Sus scrofa: one gene and its partners. The protein of the gene in region 1 interacts with the protein of each later gene in a biochemical or structural test. Links are inferred from orthologs where the notes say so. Each region holds a gene or a part of one and is shown in the gene's direction. Other genes may lie near its edges.

The links.
Region 2: the proteins of CACYBP (region 1) and S100A6 are reported together in a solved structure, tested with the Homo sapiens proteins (2 studies listed by BioGRID and IntAct, with this or other methods). The link is inferred for Sus scrofa from reciprocal best matches to the Homo sapiens genes CACYBP and S100A6.
Region 3: of the proteins of CACYBP (region 1) and MAPK1, one has a biochemical effect on the other in vitro, tested with the Homo sapiens proteins (2 studies listed by BioGRID). The link is inferred for Sus scrofa from reciprocal best matches to the Homo sapiens genes CACYBP and MAPK1.

What each region holds. Positions count from the first base shown.
Region 1 is NC_010451.4:117,066,309-117,070,765, forward strand, and holds part of CACYBP (calcyclin-binding protein), read left to right. Parts: intron 1-2,409; coding exon 2,410-2,629; intron 2,630-4,457. UniProt on the Homo sapiens protein: May be involved in calcium-dependent ubiquitination and subsequent proteasomal degradation of target proteins. Probably serves as a molecular bridge in ubiquitin E3 complexes. Participates in the ubiquitin-mediated degradation of beta-catenin (CTNNB1).
Region 2 is NC_010446.5:96,096,338-96,100,512, forward strand, and holds S100A6 (protein S100-A6), read left to right. Parts: upstream 1-1,933; 5' UTR 1,934-1,969; intron 1,970-2,330; 5' UTR 2,331-2,432; exon of another isoform or gene 2,433-2,454; intron 2,455-2,611; 5' UTR 2,612-2,632; coding exon 2,633-2,770; intron 2,771-3,122; coding exon 3,123-3,257; 3' UTR 3,258-3,349; downstream 3,350-4,175. Other genes in the region: S100A5 (protein S100-A5), read left to right, coding at 283-426. UniProt on the Homo sapiens protein: May function as calcium sensor and modulator, contributing to cellular calcium signaling.
Region 3 is NC_010456.5:50,081,292-50,086,204, forward strand, and holds the start of MAPK1 (mitogen-activated protein kinase 1), read left to right. Parts: upstream 1-1,787; 5' UTR 1,788-1,811; coding exon 1,812-2,554; intron 2,555-4,913. UniProt on the Homo sapiens protein: Serine/threonine kinase which acts as an essential component of the MAP kinase signal transduction pathway. MAPK1/ERK2 and MAPK3/ERK1 are the 2 MAPKs which play an important role in the MAPK/ERK cascade.

The sequences.
Region 1 (4,457 bases):
ATGTCTGCTCAAGTCCTTTGCCTGTTTTGAACCACTTTGGTTTTAATGCTTCTTAGTGAAGAACTTGGAAATAAGTTAGAAGAGAAAGCTTGAATATATTTATGATAGGAATAAAAAGGAGATGTGATTTTGCATAAGGAAGATAAATGAATGCCTAGAGAAATTAGGTGACAAACTGCTGTATCTCAGGCATCTTAAAGATATTTACAGGAAAAGCACCAAAGGGATCATTATTACTCATTTCAAATTTGTAAATAACAGAGAACTAAGGAATTATCTTAAACAGGCCTGCTGTAAGTTGCTTCAGACTTAACAGTGGATATCTCATTTTTGTGGTGCTGTAGAGCCAAACTGGCTGTAAAGAGGGTCTGGGCATACATTGCTAAATTCACAGAGTTCTGAGTCTCCTAGAAAAAGGATCCATATTGTTTAGAATTTATACATTTTCTTTTTTAAAAAAAACCTAAATCCCTACTCTGGAAACAAAACATACTCATTTTACATTTTAAATGTTTTAATCATATTATTAGAATCAGCGTGACTTTTTGAAGAAATTATAACAAAAAGATTGCTTTGGGAGTTCCTTTTGTGGCTCAGTGTGCTACGAACCTGACTAGTATCCATGAAAATGCGGGTTCGATCCCTGGGTTTGCTCCCTGGGTTAAGGATCTGATGTTGCCATGAGTTGTGTTTACGTCTCAGATGAGGCTCGGATCGTGGGTTGCTGTGGCTGTGGCCGGCAGCTGCAGCTCCAATTTGACCCCGAGCTTGGGAACTTCCATATGCTGCAGGTGTGGCCCTAAAAAGCCAAAAAAAAAAAAAAAAAAAGATTGCTTTGAACTAGCAGCATCGTGGTTGTATGCTCGAAAGATGAGTTGCAGTTTTTTGCCTTAGTAATAAATGAATTTTGAGAGCCGGAGATAGAATGTGGACCAGAGACTGGGCACACAGACTTTTTAAACCATGTTTTTAGCAGTTACATACAGGCAAAACAGAGTATTGGAGTTAAATGAGATAAAAAGACTTGTGATAAAAGAGTTCATTTTTCTGTTTTTGCATTTTTTCTTTTTTCCTTTTTTTTTTTTTTTTTTGTCTTTTGTCCTTTTAGGGCCACACCTGTGGCATATGGAGGTTCCCAGGCTAGGGGTCCCATCGGAGCTGTAGCCACCTGCCTACACCTGAGTCACAGCAACGTCGGAGCTGAGCCGTGTCTGCAACCTACACCTCAGCTCACCACAACACCAGATCCTTAACCCACTCAACGAGGCAGAGATCGAACCCACAACCTCATGGTTCCTAGTCGGATTCATTTCTGCTGCGCCATGACGGGGAACTCCCCTGTTTTGCATTTTCTAATACTATTAAGAAACATAAAGACTTTAAAACTGTACTTCACATATTATACTGAGTTATCAAGCATTTAAATATTTTTATTTTGAGCATTATATGATCTCAGGCTATAATATCAAAGTCTTCTGTTCAAATTGCTAGTATCAAGACAGATTGTAAAGTCATTTTAAGAAAAAATGAATCCCCTGTTTAGAAAGATCTTACAAATTTGCATTATGTCAGAGGATAACCGAGGAAAAGTTTTTAAGCTCATTAATTTTCTAACAGTGTCTTTGACTCTTAACCTCACAAAATCTTGGCTCTGCCCCTGAAAAGAAATAGCAGTAGCCTTGGATAGGCAATGTCTTGGTGTAACAAATAAGAAGCAGGTGGCATTTCCAGTGATCCAGGATTGTGTTTTATGTTGGATTATTTGCCCAGGTTTTTACCCTTTACTGTGCAACCAAACCAGGTCCCAGACTTCTGATGGTAAAAGAAACCTGGAGCTTCAGAATCAAACTTATTAGAAGAAATATCTTTTTTTTATCTTTTGCCTTAAAAATGTAAACTTTTTATATGTATTATTTGGGATAGGAAGATCAGTGAGGACCAGTTAGTGATGGAAAGTAGAGGATAACCTGTCAAGTTGCTGTAGCATTTCACCACACTCATCATGTATTCACTTATATCTTTTAATATTTAGAAAATTCCTAATATCTGATGACGGACTGGAAGTTACAAGGAAATGCAAGAATTCCTTTTTGTTGAATTTCATCTTAACAAATCAGAAAATGTTTATAAATCACAAAAGTAAAAAAAAGAGTTAACAGTCTACCAAACTAGAAAGTTTTGGCTCGATTACCTATTGTTACTTGAAGATTAGGTTTTCCTATTTTAAAAAAAGGGAGCTTGAGTTATTTACAATTCAATAGGCTGAACGAAAAAATCCTTGTTGCTACTCAACCCTAGAAAATTTAAATGAACCTCTTATTATTAGCTCCTATTTCAGTAAATTGAAATGACCAATGTGCACAACATCATGTTGTTATTTATCATAGCTAATGTGTTTTTTTAACACAGCTACAGAAAGATCTAGAAGAGGTGAAGGTGCTTCTGGAAAAGGCTACTAGAAAAAGAGTACGTGATACCCTGACCACTGAAAAGTCCAAGATTGAGACAGAAATCAAGAACAAGATGCAGCAGAAATCACAGAGGAAAGCAGAACTTCTGGAAAATGAAAAGCCGGCGGCTGTGGTTGCTCCTATTACAACAGGATATACAGTAAAAATCAGTAATTATGGTATGACTTGCGCCCCCCCCCATCTAGTTCTTTCTGCCTCTGAGCAGCCTGTTCCTCAGTAGTGACCCACTAACAAAATCAGATTTTTTATTATCTTTGTCTTTCTTTTTTCTTTTTTTTTTTTTTTTTTTTCTTTTTTTAAGGGCTGCACATGCACATATGGAGGTTCCTAGGCTAGGGGTCAGATCAGAGCTATAGCCACTGGCCTATGCCACAGCAACTCCAGATCCAAGCTACACCACAGCTCACAGCAATGCCAGATTCTTAACCCACTGACTAAGGCCAGGGATCAAACCTGCGTCCTCATGGACGATAGTCAGATTTGTTTTCCACTGAGCCACCACGGGAACTCCCCAAATCAATTTTTAAAACAGTGTATAAAGTATTTGGTTTTGGTGATTTATAAGAGAACACCTGTCAATTCTTACTTAATAGATGCTTTTTAAGAGATTAGAAGAAGGGATGAATTTCTGGAAGCTAATTAACAAGAGGGCAAGATGATTAGTACAGTGATGAGTAGCAACAGAAGGAACCTATTCTGAAATACATTAATTATACATGGAACACAGCTTTTGTTTTGGTTTTCTTCCTTTTTTGGTTTTCACTTGGCCAACTATCCACCCATATTAACTGAAGAAGGGAAACCAGTTAAATTCAAGAAACATTTTTGAGCATCTAATATGGGCCTTTATTGTACTTGGACTTGTGAGTACACAGCAGTGACCAAGACCCAATCCTGCTCATGGTGTGGTTGGAACACATACAGCTAATACCATAACAATGTCATAATACCATTTTCCCTCAACTGATTATAGACATTTTATTTTGGAAATAGTGTAACTTGGAATCTGAGTAATGGGCTCTCATAAGGAGAGGGACAGTCTTTATGCTCACAGTATGTAGCACATAGTAAGTACTTAATATTTGCTTAACTGAATAGATTTATAAAGTACTATGGGAATATAGCTGTTAAAATAATTCCCCTGGGGGGGAGGAAAAGTCAGGAAGAATTGGAAGAAACATTTGAGTTTAAAGAGTGAGTTCTGGAGGTTCCATTGTGGCTCAGTGGGTTACAAACCTAATATCCGTGAAGATGCGGGTTCAGTCCCTGGCGTCTCTTGGTGGGTTAGCTGCAGCTCTGATTCGACTCCTAGCCCAGGAACTTCCATATGCTGCAGATGTGGCCCAAAAAAGCAAAAAATAGGAAAAAAAAAAAAAATGAGTTCAGCAAATGTAAAAAAGGAAGGCAAAGGACATGAAAGGCATCATGTGTTTTGAGTATCGTCATAGCAAAAAGCAATGTGTGTTTCATGTTTCAGTGATGCACTGCAGTACTGTAGGAGATATGCTGTGCATGTCGTTAACTGTAGGAAACTAAGGTGGTAGGATTATGGAGTATTAACTAGGAACCTAGATTTGTGTTTAGGGAGAAATTTGGCAATGTGGAGGATGGATTGAATGAATGGGGAGAAACAAAATGAAGTTCTATAGAACCATTTAGGAGATCTTTTTTCATTAACACTGAATTTTTGTTCTATAGAATTAGGTGAGGAAAAGTCATATAGTACACAGTAAATACATGTATATTTTTATCATTTGCTTCTTGTGTGATGTTTGCATGTTTTCTTTGAAAGAATTCATCTAGGTTGGAGACTGAATAATTTGATAATATATACTGAAATAGCCTTTTCTGGATATGTGTAGGTTAGTCAAATTGGCAGACTTGGATGAATTGGACTCCTTTTTTTCTTCCCCCTTTCTTTTTAGGGCGGCACCACAGCATATGGAGGTTCCCAGGCTAGGTGTCCAATCAGAGCTGTAGCTGCCA
Region 2 (4,175 bases), on another chromosome or scaffold:
AGTCACCAAGCCGCTTCTATGAGGTGTTGCATGATATCTAGCTTATTATTTCTTCGGGCGGTAGAAAGTGTGGAGGGGAAGCGGGGCTGCCCTAGACTCCCTCTGGTAATTTTTCCAGGCTCAGGGGTCAGCTCACTGAGCGCCTGCGTGGTGCTGGGTCCTGGGCTGGGTGTGGCCTGGGGGCGGGGGGATTCTGAGGGCCCAGAAGCTGACTCCGCTGGGGCTCAGCCTGAGGCTGGGAGGGGGCAGGGCTGACCTGTGTCTCTACCTGGGCCCTGGAAGAAGATGAAGGAGAGCAGTGTGGACGACCTGATGAAGAGTTTGGATAAGAACAGCGACCAGGAGATCGACTTCAAGGAGTACTCGGTGTTCCTGACCACGCTCTGCATGGCCTACAACGACTTCTTCCTGGAGGACAACCAGTGACGGGGCCCAGGCCCTGGCCTCTGCAGCTCCTATCACACACCCTTCCAGAAGGATGCTGCTTTAGCCTTCCATTCCCGCAGAGGAAATAAAGATTTTCCTTTCCAGGGGTCCGTGGCTGGTTTGGAAGATGTCTTGTCCATCTTGGCTGGGGGTGCGGTGGGCAGGGCAGCGATTCCCCTTCAGTGAGTGGAGAGCTTCTGGGGGCTAGGGTTCTGGGCTCCCTCTCCACTTCCTGTCCTTTGGTGTGGATGTGACTAAGTGTGTCTGGGCTTAGCATGGCCCTCCTGGAAAATGGGGAAGTTGGGCCAGGCTTTTGATGGCTTCCGAGGTGTGCTTCGGCTATGCAGAGAAAGTTAAGGAGAAAGTGCTTAGAGGGTGAGGACACTGGAGGCAGCCGGGATGTGGTTCCTGGGGGCAGTGGTGGACAGGCCAGTCTGACTTGTCACCAGCTCACAGGAGGCCACCCTGAGGACGCTGGTAAGAAAGGGGAGTGTGGCCTTGACCTCCAGGCCAGTCCCCTTTCCCTCTCCTCCGTTTCCCTCTCTGCAACAAGCCCTGCTACCCCGCATGCCACCTCAATCACCTCTAGGCTTTCTGCCTTTCCCACCTCCCCATATCAAAAGCCTTTCTCCAGAGAGGATCTGAGAGGAGTTCCCCCTTGTGCTGCAGCGGAATTGAATCTAACTAGGAACCATGAGGTTGCAGGTTCGATTCCCTGGCCTCACCCCAGTGGGTCAAGGATCTGGTGTTGCCATGAGCTGTAGTGTGGGTCGAGACCCTGCTCGGATCTGGCGTTGCTGTGCCTGTGGCAGAGGCCAGCAGCTACCCGAGGCCCTAAAAAGCAAACAAAACAAAACAAAACCCAAAACCAAAAAACACTGAGGATCTGAGAAACTTTGCATTGCAGGGTAAATAACTAGGGACACAGGGCTTGGCTCTGGCATGTGTGCCCCTGAAGCTGCAGGAGGCTCCGGTGTGCAATTCTGGAATTCGGGGTGGGGGAGGGGGTTGGGGAAGGGAGCAGGATGGTGGTAGGAATTCGTTTTCCGCTGGCGGATGGGTGTTGGAGAAGTCCTTGAAACTGTATTCTGTAGACCACCGGCCGCTCCCCACCCTTCATCTAGGTTTCGCCCTGGGAAGGGGGCACCCTTCTCTCCCTTCTCCACCCACTTCCGGCAGCCCCCCCAGCGTCAGTGACAGCGTCCTGCCCTGGCCTGTCACATCACGATGCTGGGGGGTGGGTGGCTGCAAACTGGGTTTCAGGGGTTAGGAAGGAGCTCGAGGTCACTCGGCTGGCTGCAGGTGGGACCCCCTCCCCCTCGAGGTCCCCCCCACCCCGCGGAGCCCTGAACTGCCCCGGGGCAGGAGGCGTGGAAAGTTTTGGGGCCCTGGTGTTGTGTAACGGCGAGCACAGGGTGGGGCGCGGGGCGGGCCGTGGGCGGTGGGGAGCCGGCCTCCCGGACGCGCCTCTATAAGGCGGGCGGGCCGGCCCCAGAGCCCAGCATCCCCTCGGCCGCTCCCTGCTCCCGTCGCTGCCGCCGTGGTGAGTCCTGGCCAGGGCAGCCCCGGTCCTTCTGAGCCAGCCCGCCCCGGGCTTGGTCCGCGGGCGGTGGATGGCTCGGCATCCAGCCTGGGGCTGCGGGGCTGCCGGGCGGGCGGGGAGAGGCAGGAGAAGCCAGGCTGGCCCAGGGCTAAGGCGTCCGTTGGGCGGCTCCGGGTAGTGGCCCATCTGGGGTGCGGGAGGGTGTGTCCCGGGCGGGCGTGTCAGCGCCGCCGTGTGTGGCCCTGGAAGGCTGTGTGTAGGGCTGGGTGCGCCGTCTCCACCCCCGCCCCGCAACATCCGCCCCAACTTTCCCGCAACCCCTGGAGGAGCGTTCTCAGCTGTGTTCCTGTCTGCTGCTTAGAATCCTTGAGCCACCTCGTCTCTGGTTCCCTGGAGGCCACAGATCTCTAGGCTCTAGAGTCTGCCCTCTTCCTCCCCTTCAAGCCTCGAGCTGTCTCCTGAGGTCACCTGACACTTACTTGGTGGTCCGGGCAGGGTCGTCAAAGGGAGTTGGGGTCGGGGGTGGGTGGTGGTGGGGATGGGGGTGGGTGGGTGGGGGGCAGAGGTCTTGGGGCTTGCGGTGAGTGAGAGGAGTGAGACCTCCGTGTGGCCCAGGACACTGACCAGCCCCTCTGCCCCCAGCCTTGAACTCAGCCTTCAGCCATGGCATGCCCTCTGGATCAGGCTATTGGCCTCCTGGTGGCCATCTTCCACAAGTACTCCGGCCGGGAGGGTGACAAAAACACCCTGAGCAAGAGTGAGCTGAAGGAGCTGATCCAGAAGGAACTCACCATTGGGGCGGTGAGTGAGTCTCCCCTGCCCCCCCCCCCCTTAGAAGCAGGATTGGGAGAAGGCCAGGCGCCAGGTGCCTGTGACTCACACTTACTCACATTCCGGGGACCTAGACCTTACCGGACCATTGGTCCACACCCCTGGGCCCTGAGGGGCTGGGGATATTCCCAGCCTGGTATTCACTCCTCCTGAGTCAGCAGCAGAGAAGTCAAGCCAAGTGAATTCAAGGTGGGCTCAGAGTTTTGGTGACAAGTGAGCACAGAGCCACTTGTCTGAGAGAGGGCTGCCTGGGAGGGGGAAAGGCAGAGAACCCAAGGTCTCATCACCCCTGAGTCCTGGATTTCCCATTTTGACCCGGTAGAAGCTGCAGGATGCTGAAATCGCAAAGCTGATGGATGACCTGGACCGGAACAAGGACCAGGTGGTGAACTTCCAAGAATATGTCACCTTCCTGGGGGCCTTGGCTATGATCTACAACGATGTCCTCCGGGGCTGAACATAAATTGAGACGGTGGAGACACCCTTTAGCTGGCCTGTTGATCTAGTGGTGGGTAACTGTACAATAAATTTTTTTTGTTGTTAAATCTACCCCTGTGTCCTGGCTTCCCTGTGATTTGTTTCCTCCTCTGCTTGCCGCTGCATCAGCCATCAGAGGGTTTTCTCGCAGTCCCCTCTGGGAGTGACTCAGTGACTCACCAGGTCAGGGGAGCTGGTGGGAGGGTCCACAAGATGATGGATGCGCCCTAACAAGGCAGTTACAGCTCCTAAACTGCTTTTATGTGAATCAGAAAAGATGTAAGCTCTGGGCAAAGCCATCTTAAGGAAAGGCTCAAGCGGTCCCCAGCACAGGGCGTTCTGGGGTGGGCTTGGAGAAGGAAATGGTGCTTAAGCCAGGCTGTGATGAGTCCAGAGTGGAACAGAGATAGTCCTAGCTGGGTCCTTGCAGACGACAAAGACAAGTTTTTGCTCTGGGTGTGGTCAAAGGGGAAGGTCCAGCAGGGCTGTGGGGCGGGGCTGGTCCACTCTCTCACTACAGGGAAGTGGGGGCAGAGAAGGCACATCTGGCATGCTCACAGCCTGGCTGGGGACTGCTGTGGATGCTGTACGGTCAAGGTCAATTCTGCTGCCCCTGCCCCGGTTGAAGGTGGGAGGCACACCTTAGGGCCCTTTGTTCTCAGAGTTGTGGTCTGAGAAGCTGGCAGCTGTGTGGATACATGAATCATGAGATGCTCATGAAAGGGGTGGGATGGGGGTCCCCGGGACTGGGCAGCCACAGCCCAGCCTTTCTGTCAATATTGAGCCAGCCCATTCCTAGCGCCTTAGCAGAATGGATCACCCCAGTTATTCCATGGAGCCACTGGTAGATGATGAATTGAAATTATCTGAGTTCATTGTTTGCATTAGTGTTTTCAGG
Region 3 (4,913 bases), on another chromosome or scaffold:
ATTAACCCACTGAGCAAGGCCAGGGATCAAACCCACATCCTCATGGATACTAGTCGGGTTGATAACCCACTGAGCCACAGGAACTCCCAGTTTTTAGCTTTTTAAATAAACAATCTCTTTGTCCTGATTATACATTGTGCTTGTTCTTTATTGCTGACGTTTCCGAACTTTTCCAGATCATGTCTTGAAGTTTTCTGCTTATTTATTTTTTCTGGATTCAGAGAACTCAATTTTCCATGTCCATCCTAGATCCTTTTGGTTGCACCCGCAGCATACAAAAGCTCCCAGGCCAGAGATTAAACCTTTGCTGCAGCAGTGACCTGAGCTGCAGCAGTGACAATGCCAGGTCCTTAACTGCTAGGCTACCAGGGAACTCCAACACCACAGATCTTTTTAGACATTAAGGCAGGTTTTCTTTTACTGTAAGTTATTGCCTCTAAGTGATTTGCTCTGTCTTCTTTGGGGAGGGGGTGCCTGTAGTTTGACTTTGTGGTGTTTGTTCTCTTGTACATTTTCTTCTTAAAGAATTTCATCACCAGCTTTTTCTCATAGTCGTCTCCTATCCTGCTGACTTGCTCTTCTACACTGTTAAGTCTGCTTATTACAGCTCCAACCATTGCTTTTACTTTGGCTATTGTGGTTTTAATTTCATGGTACCCTCTATTTATCTTGGCCTGTCCTTTAAAAGATGCAAGTTCTTCTTTTAATCAAGAATCAGGGAGTTCCTGTCATGGCTCAGTGGTTAACAAATCTGACTAGGAACCCTGAGGTTGAGGGTTTGATCCCTGGCCTTGCTCAGTGGGTTAAGGATCCTGCATTGCTGTGGCTTTGGCATAGGCCGGTGGCTACAGCTCTGATTAGACCCCTAGCCTGGGAACCTCCACATGCCGTGGGAAGTGGCCCTAGAAAAGGCAAAAAGACAAAAAAAAAAAAAAAAAAAAAAAAGGAATAAGAATCAGGTGTTGGGTTCTACTTTATGGACTAAACATATTTCAAAAGAGTACTTTTTGGCTGTAGCCCTTTATTTATTTTCTCATATGCCACATGTTTTTTTTTTTCCCCAGAGGATTTTTTTCTCTTTTGCTTATTCATCTTCAAGACTGTCTAGTTGATCTTTGTTGATGACTGGAAGTCCAGGCTTTCTGGATCACAGTGTCAGACAATCAGGACGCAGAATTTCCCACCCTTAGTCCCCTTTCCAAGACGACGCAGGTGACTCCAATGAAGTGGCTCAGAAGCAAGGGCTGGATCATCTTCTGTCTCATTGTCTTAGCTGTTTATCGAATTCACCTGCTTCAAGATTCTGCCTTTTATTTTCAACCTCTGGTGTTTGTGACTATTAAAGTTACAGTTGATTTATGTTGTGTTCATTTCTGCTATACAGCAAAGTGATTCAGTTATACATATATACATTCTTTTCCATTTTTGTGACAATCTCTGAACCTCAGTGCGTCTAACTCGTTTTCTCTAGATGTTAATACTTGTTTTTTTCGCGTTTCTACCTGGGTAAGATCCTGCCCATCTGTACCAACTTGGGTGCCAGTCTCTGAATCTCAGTGTTTTTCTCAGGGTCTCAACCCACTACTCCCGAACCCCTTACTCTGCTCTCCTTTTCTTCGCAGTACTTCGCAGACAACTTGAGTCTTCCTTCAGATCCATCGACCGTCCATCCATCATCTCCTGGAGGGTAGCTTCGAGGAGGGTGGACGCGCAGGAACGCGGTGACACTTGTTGAACGAGCCTCTGCCGGAGCGGGCCGCGTCCGGGCTTCTTGTCTCCGCCTCCCACTCTGGGTTTCACACTTTCTCAGGATGCAAATATCTCTCTCGGTCTCGGTCACCCTTCCGGCTTCTGTGCGGGTCTCGAGGCCTCTAATCTGTATGGGCCCCGGACTCTCACAAACCTGGCTCGGCGCGCGGGGGCGGGGGGAATCCGCCCCGGTCGCGCTCCTACTCGGAGGGAGCCGCCCGGAGCTTCTCTCGGCCCGCTGCCCCGCCCGTTCGGCCCCGCAAGCTCGCCCCGCCTCGGAGTCCTCAGCGTTTCCCCGCCGCCTCCCGCGAGCGCACGTGACCGCGCCCCGCCCCGCCGCTGCAGTGCTCCGCCCCCAACGCGCCTCTTCCGCCGGCCGCGCAGCCCTGCCCCCAGGCCGCGGGAGCCAATCCGCGCTCACGCCTACGGCCCTGCCCCGGCGCCCTCCTCGGCGCGCGCCCCTCCCTCCGCCCGCCGGCCCGCCCGTCAGTCAGTCAGGCGGGCAGTCGGTACGAGCGGTCGGTGGCTATCTACCTCTCCCGAGCGGGTCCCTCACTGATTCTTCCCGGCCAGCGGCGGCGGCTGCAGCGGCTGGGGCGCGGTCTCCCCGTTGGTGCAGCGTGGGCCGAGCAGCGGCCGCGGAGCATCGAGCCCAGTGCGGCGGCGGCGGCGGCGGCCCGGCAGCCAACATGGCGGCGGCGGCGGCGGGCGCGGGCCCCGAGATGGTCCGCGGGCAGGTGTTCGACGTGGGGCCGCGCTACACCAACCTCTCCTACATCGGCGAGGGCGCCTACGGCATGGTGTGGTGAGTGTCCATGCCCCGCGGCCTGGCCGCGCCCGCCGCCCTCCCCTCCCCCCCAGCCGGGCTCACCGCTGCTGCCCCGCTTGCTCTCCGGACCCCGACCCTGACCCCGACCCCGGACGCGGACCCAGCCCCTACCCCAACCCGGACCTCCGACCTCCGACCCAGGCCCGCTGCGCCGCCAACCGCAGCGGGGCCTCGGTCGGGGCGGGGCTGGTCGGGCTGGGGCGTTGCTCGGCGCGGGGAGGGGGCGGGGGGTGGACACTGGATCCAGGACCCCGGCCCGGGAACCTAGGCCCCCTCCGCCCCCCCCGCCCCCCTCCCCGGCCTGGGTGTGCGCCGCGCGGCCTGCTCTTCGCGCCGGGGTGGGAAGCCGCGAATTCCTTCAGATGCTGGCGGCGGCGGCCGCGGCGTGTGTGCCCCGCCCCGAAATGACCGTCTGTTATTTTCCTTCCCTCGCCTGCGTTTTCCACGCACGGCTTTCATCAGATACCTTCGGTGGTGCCAGCGGTGCTCTCCTGCGCAGGCTTTTGAAAAAGCATTAGTGGCGTCAATGTTTGTTTTGGCATATTTCATTCTTGATGAAGTTTTTAAATGGGTTTTAATATCGTACTGTCCGCGTTTTAGGAAAGATAAACCAGCATCCCTCTCTTGATTTATTAAGGAGTCATTTGGAGTTGGGCCTAAATTGGCTTCTTTTTCCTTTATCTCGCTTGAACTCTATTACCAGCATAAAGGCATCCAGACGTTTTAGCACAATTATTGTGGACTTTTACTGTCAATGCTTTAGTGGTCAATATGTATGCAGTCCTGGTGGAGTTCTTGCAGTGTCACATGCTGGTTCCCTCGTCTTGATGCAGATCCCTCAGAAACGTTTGTGGAGTGGAGGTGACGGTGTTTTTTTTTCGTTTTTTTTTTTTTTTTAAATTAGTACTAACTAGCTGTCTTGTGCTGATGAAGACTTGTGCAGGTGTGGACTCCCTTATACCTAAATCTTGTGAGTGTCTTTTGTGTTGAACGAAGGAAAAAAACTAATACTGAATGCTGCGTGGCAGGTACTGTGCTAGATATATTATCTCATTTTATTTGAATAGTCAGCTGGTGGGAGGGAAGGGCTGTGAGATCTTTCAGATGAGAAAGTATTTCTGGTAAAGCCAATTCCTAAGGTCATTCAACTAAAGAGTCAGACTTGAGATTGTAGACTGAGAATTTAACTTCAGTTGCTGCAGCTCTTTTCATTACATCCTATTTTTCTTAAATAATGTTATTAATAATTTTAGAATTCTAGTCTGTCTTACTCATAAGCAAATCTATTTCAGAAATATATTCAACTTTAAATGATCTTGATTTCAGAAAGGCCATAGAGGGCATGATTTACCAGTTACATTAGCTAGGTTCAAAGACTACATAAACTTTAAAAAAAAAGAAAAAGACTTTCATTGAATCTTGAATATTTTCATTCTTTTCAAGATCAAAATGCTTCAAAGTATACAGCTGAGAATTAACGTGAATTCAGAGGCTAAGGAGCCAAAAGCGAAATTAAATTAGTTGAGGCCTAAAAGAAATGCAGTCCTAGAATGCAATGGAGAGAAAGTAATGCCCCACAGCATCACTTGTGTCCTACATCTGATTGCTGTTGTATCTGCTGGTAAGTGTGCCAGTAAAGGTCTCTATGAAGTGTTCAGAATTGCCTGTCATGTCCTTCAGCCCTTCCAAAGAAGATAAATTAGAACCTAAGATAGACTCTGAAAAGAACTAGTTTTGGAGTTCCCATCGTGGCTCAGTGGTTAACAAATCTGACTAGGAACCATGAAGTTGTGGGTTCGATCCCTGGCCTTGCTCAGTGGGTTAAGGATCCGGCATTGCTGTGAGCTGTAGTGCAGGTTGCAGACGTGGCTCGGAATCTGCATTGCTGTGGCTCTGGCATAGGCCAGGGGCTACAGCTCTGATTGGACCCCTAGCCTGGGAACCTCCATATGCTGCGGAAGCAGCCCAAGAAATGGCAAAAAGACAAAAAAAAAAACAAAAACCAAAAAACTAGTTTTATGACAATCCAGTTTAGAGGTTTTTTTTTCTTTTTAATTTGATAAGAATGTTTACTAGTCTGAAGCTCATTTAGATCTGCTAACTTTCTGTAGCTTCTGTAGACTTATTTGACCTTCTAAATCTCTGTCGGGTAAAATACCAAGCCCTCTTAATGTGACGTTCCTTTCTTAAGTAGGATCCAAGTGTAAATATTATTGGAATTAGAATCCTGGGTACAGATTATAGCTTTTTATCTTCAGATTAATGATATTTAATATAAGAATTAAATCCATGTCACACATTATTAGCATTTAATAAATGTTGGTTTACATTGTTG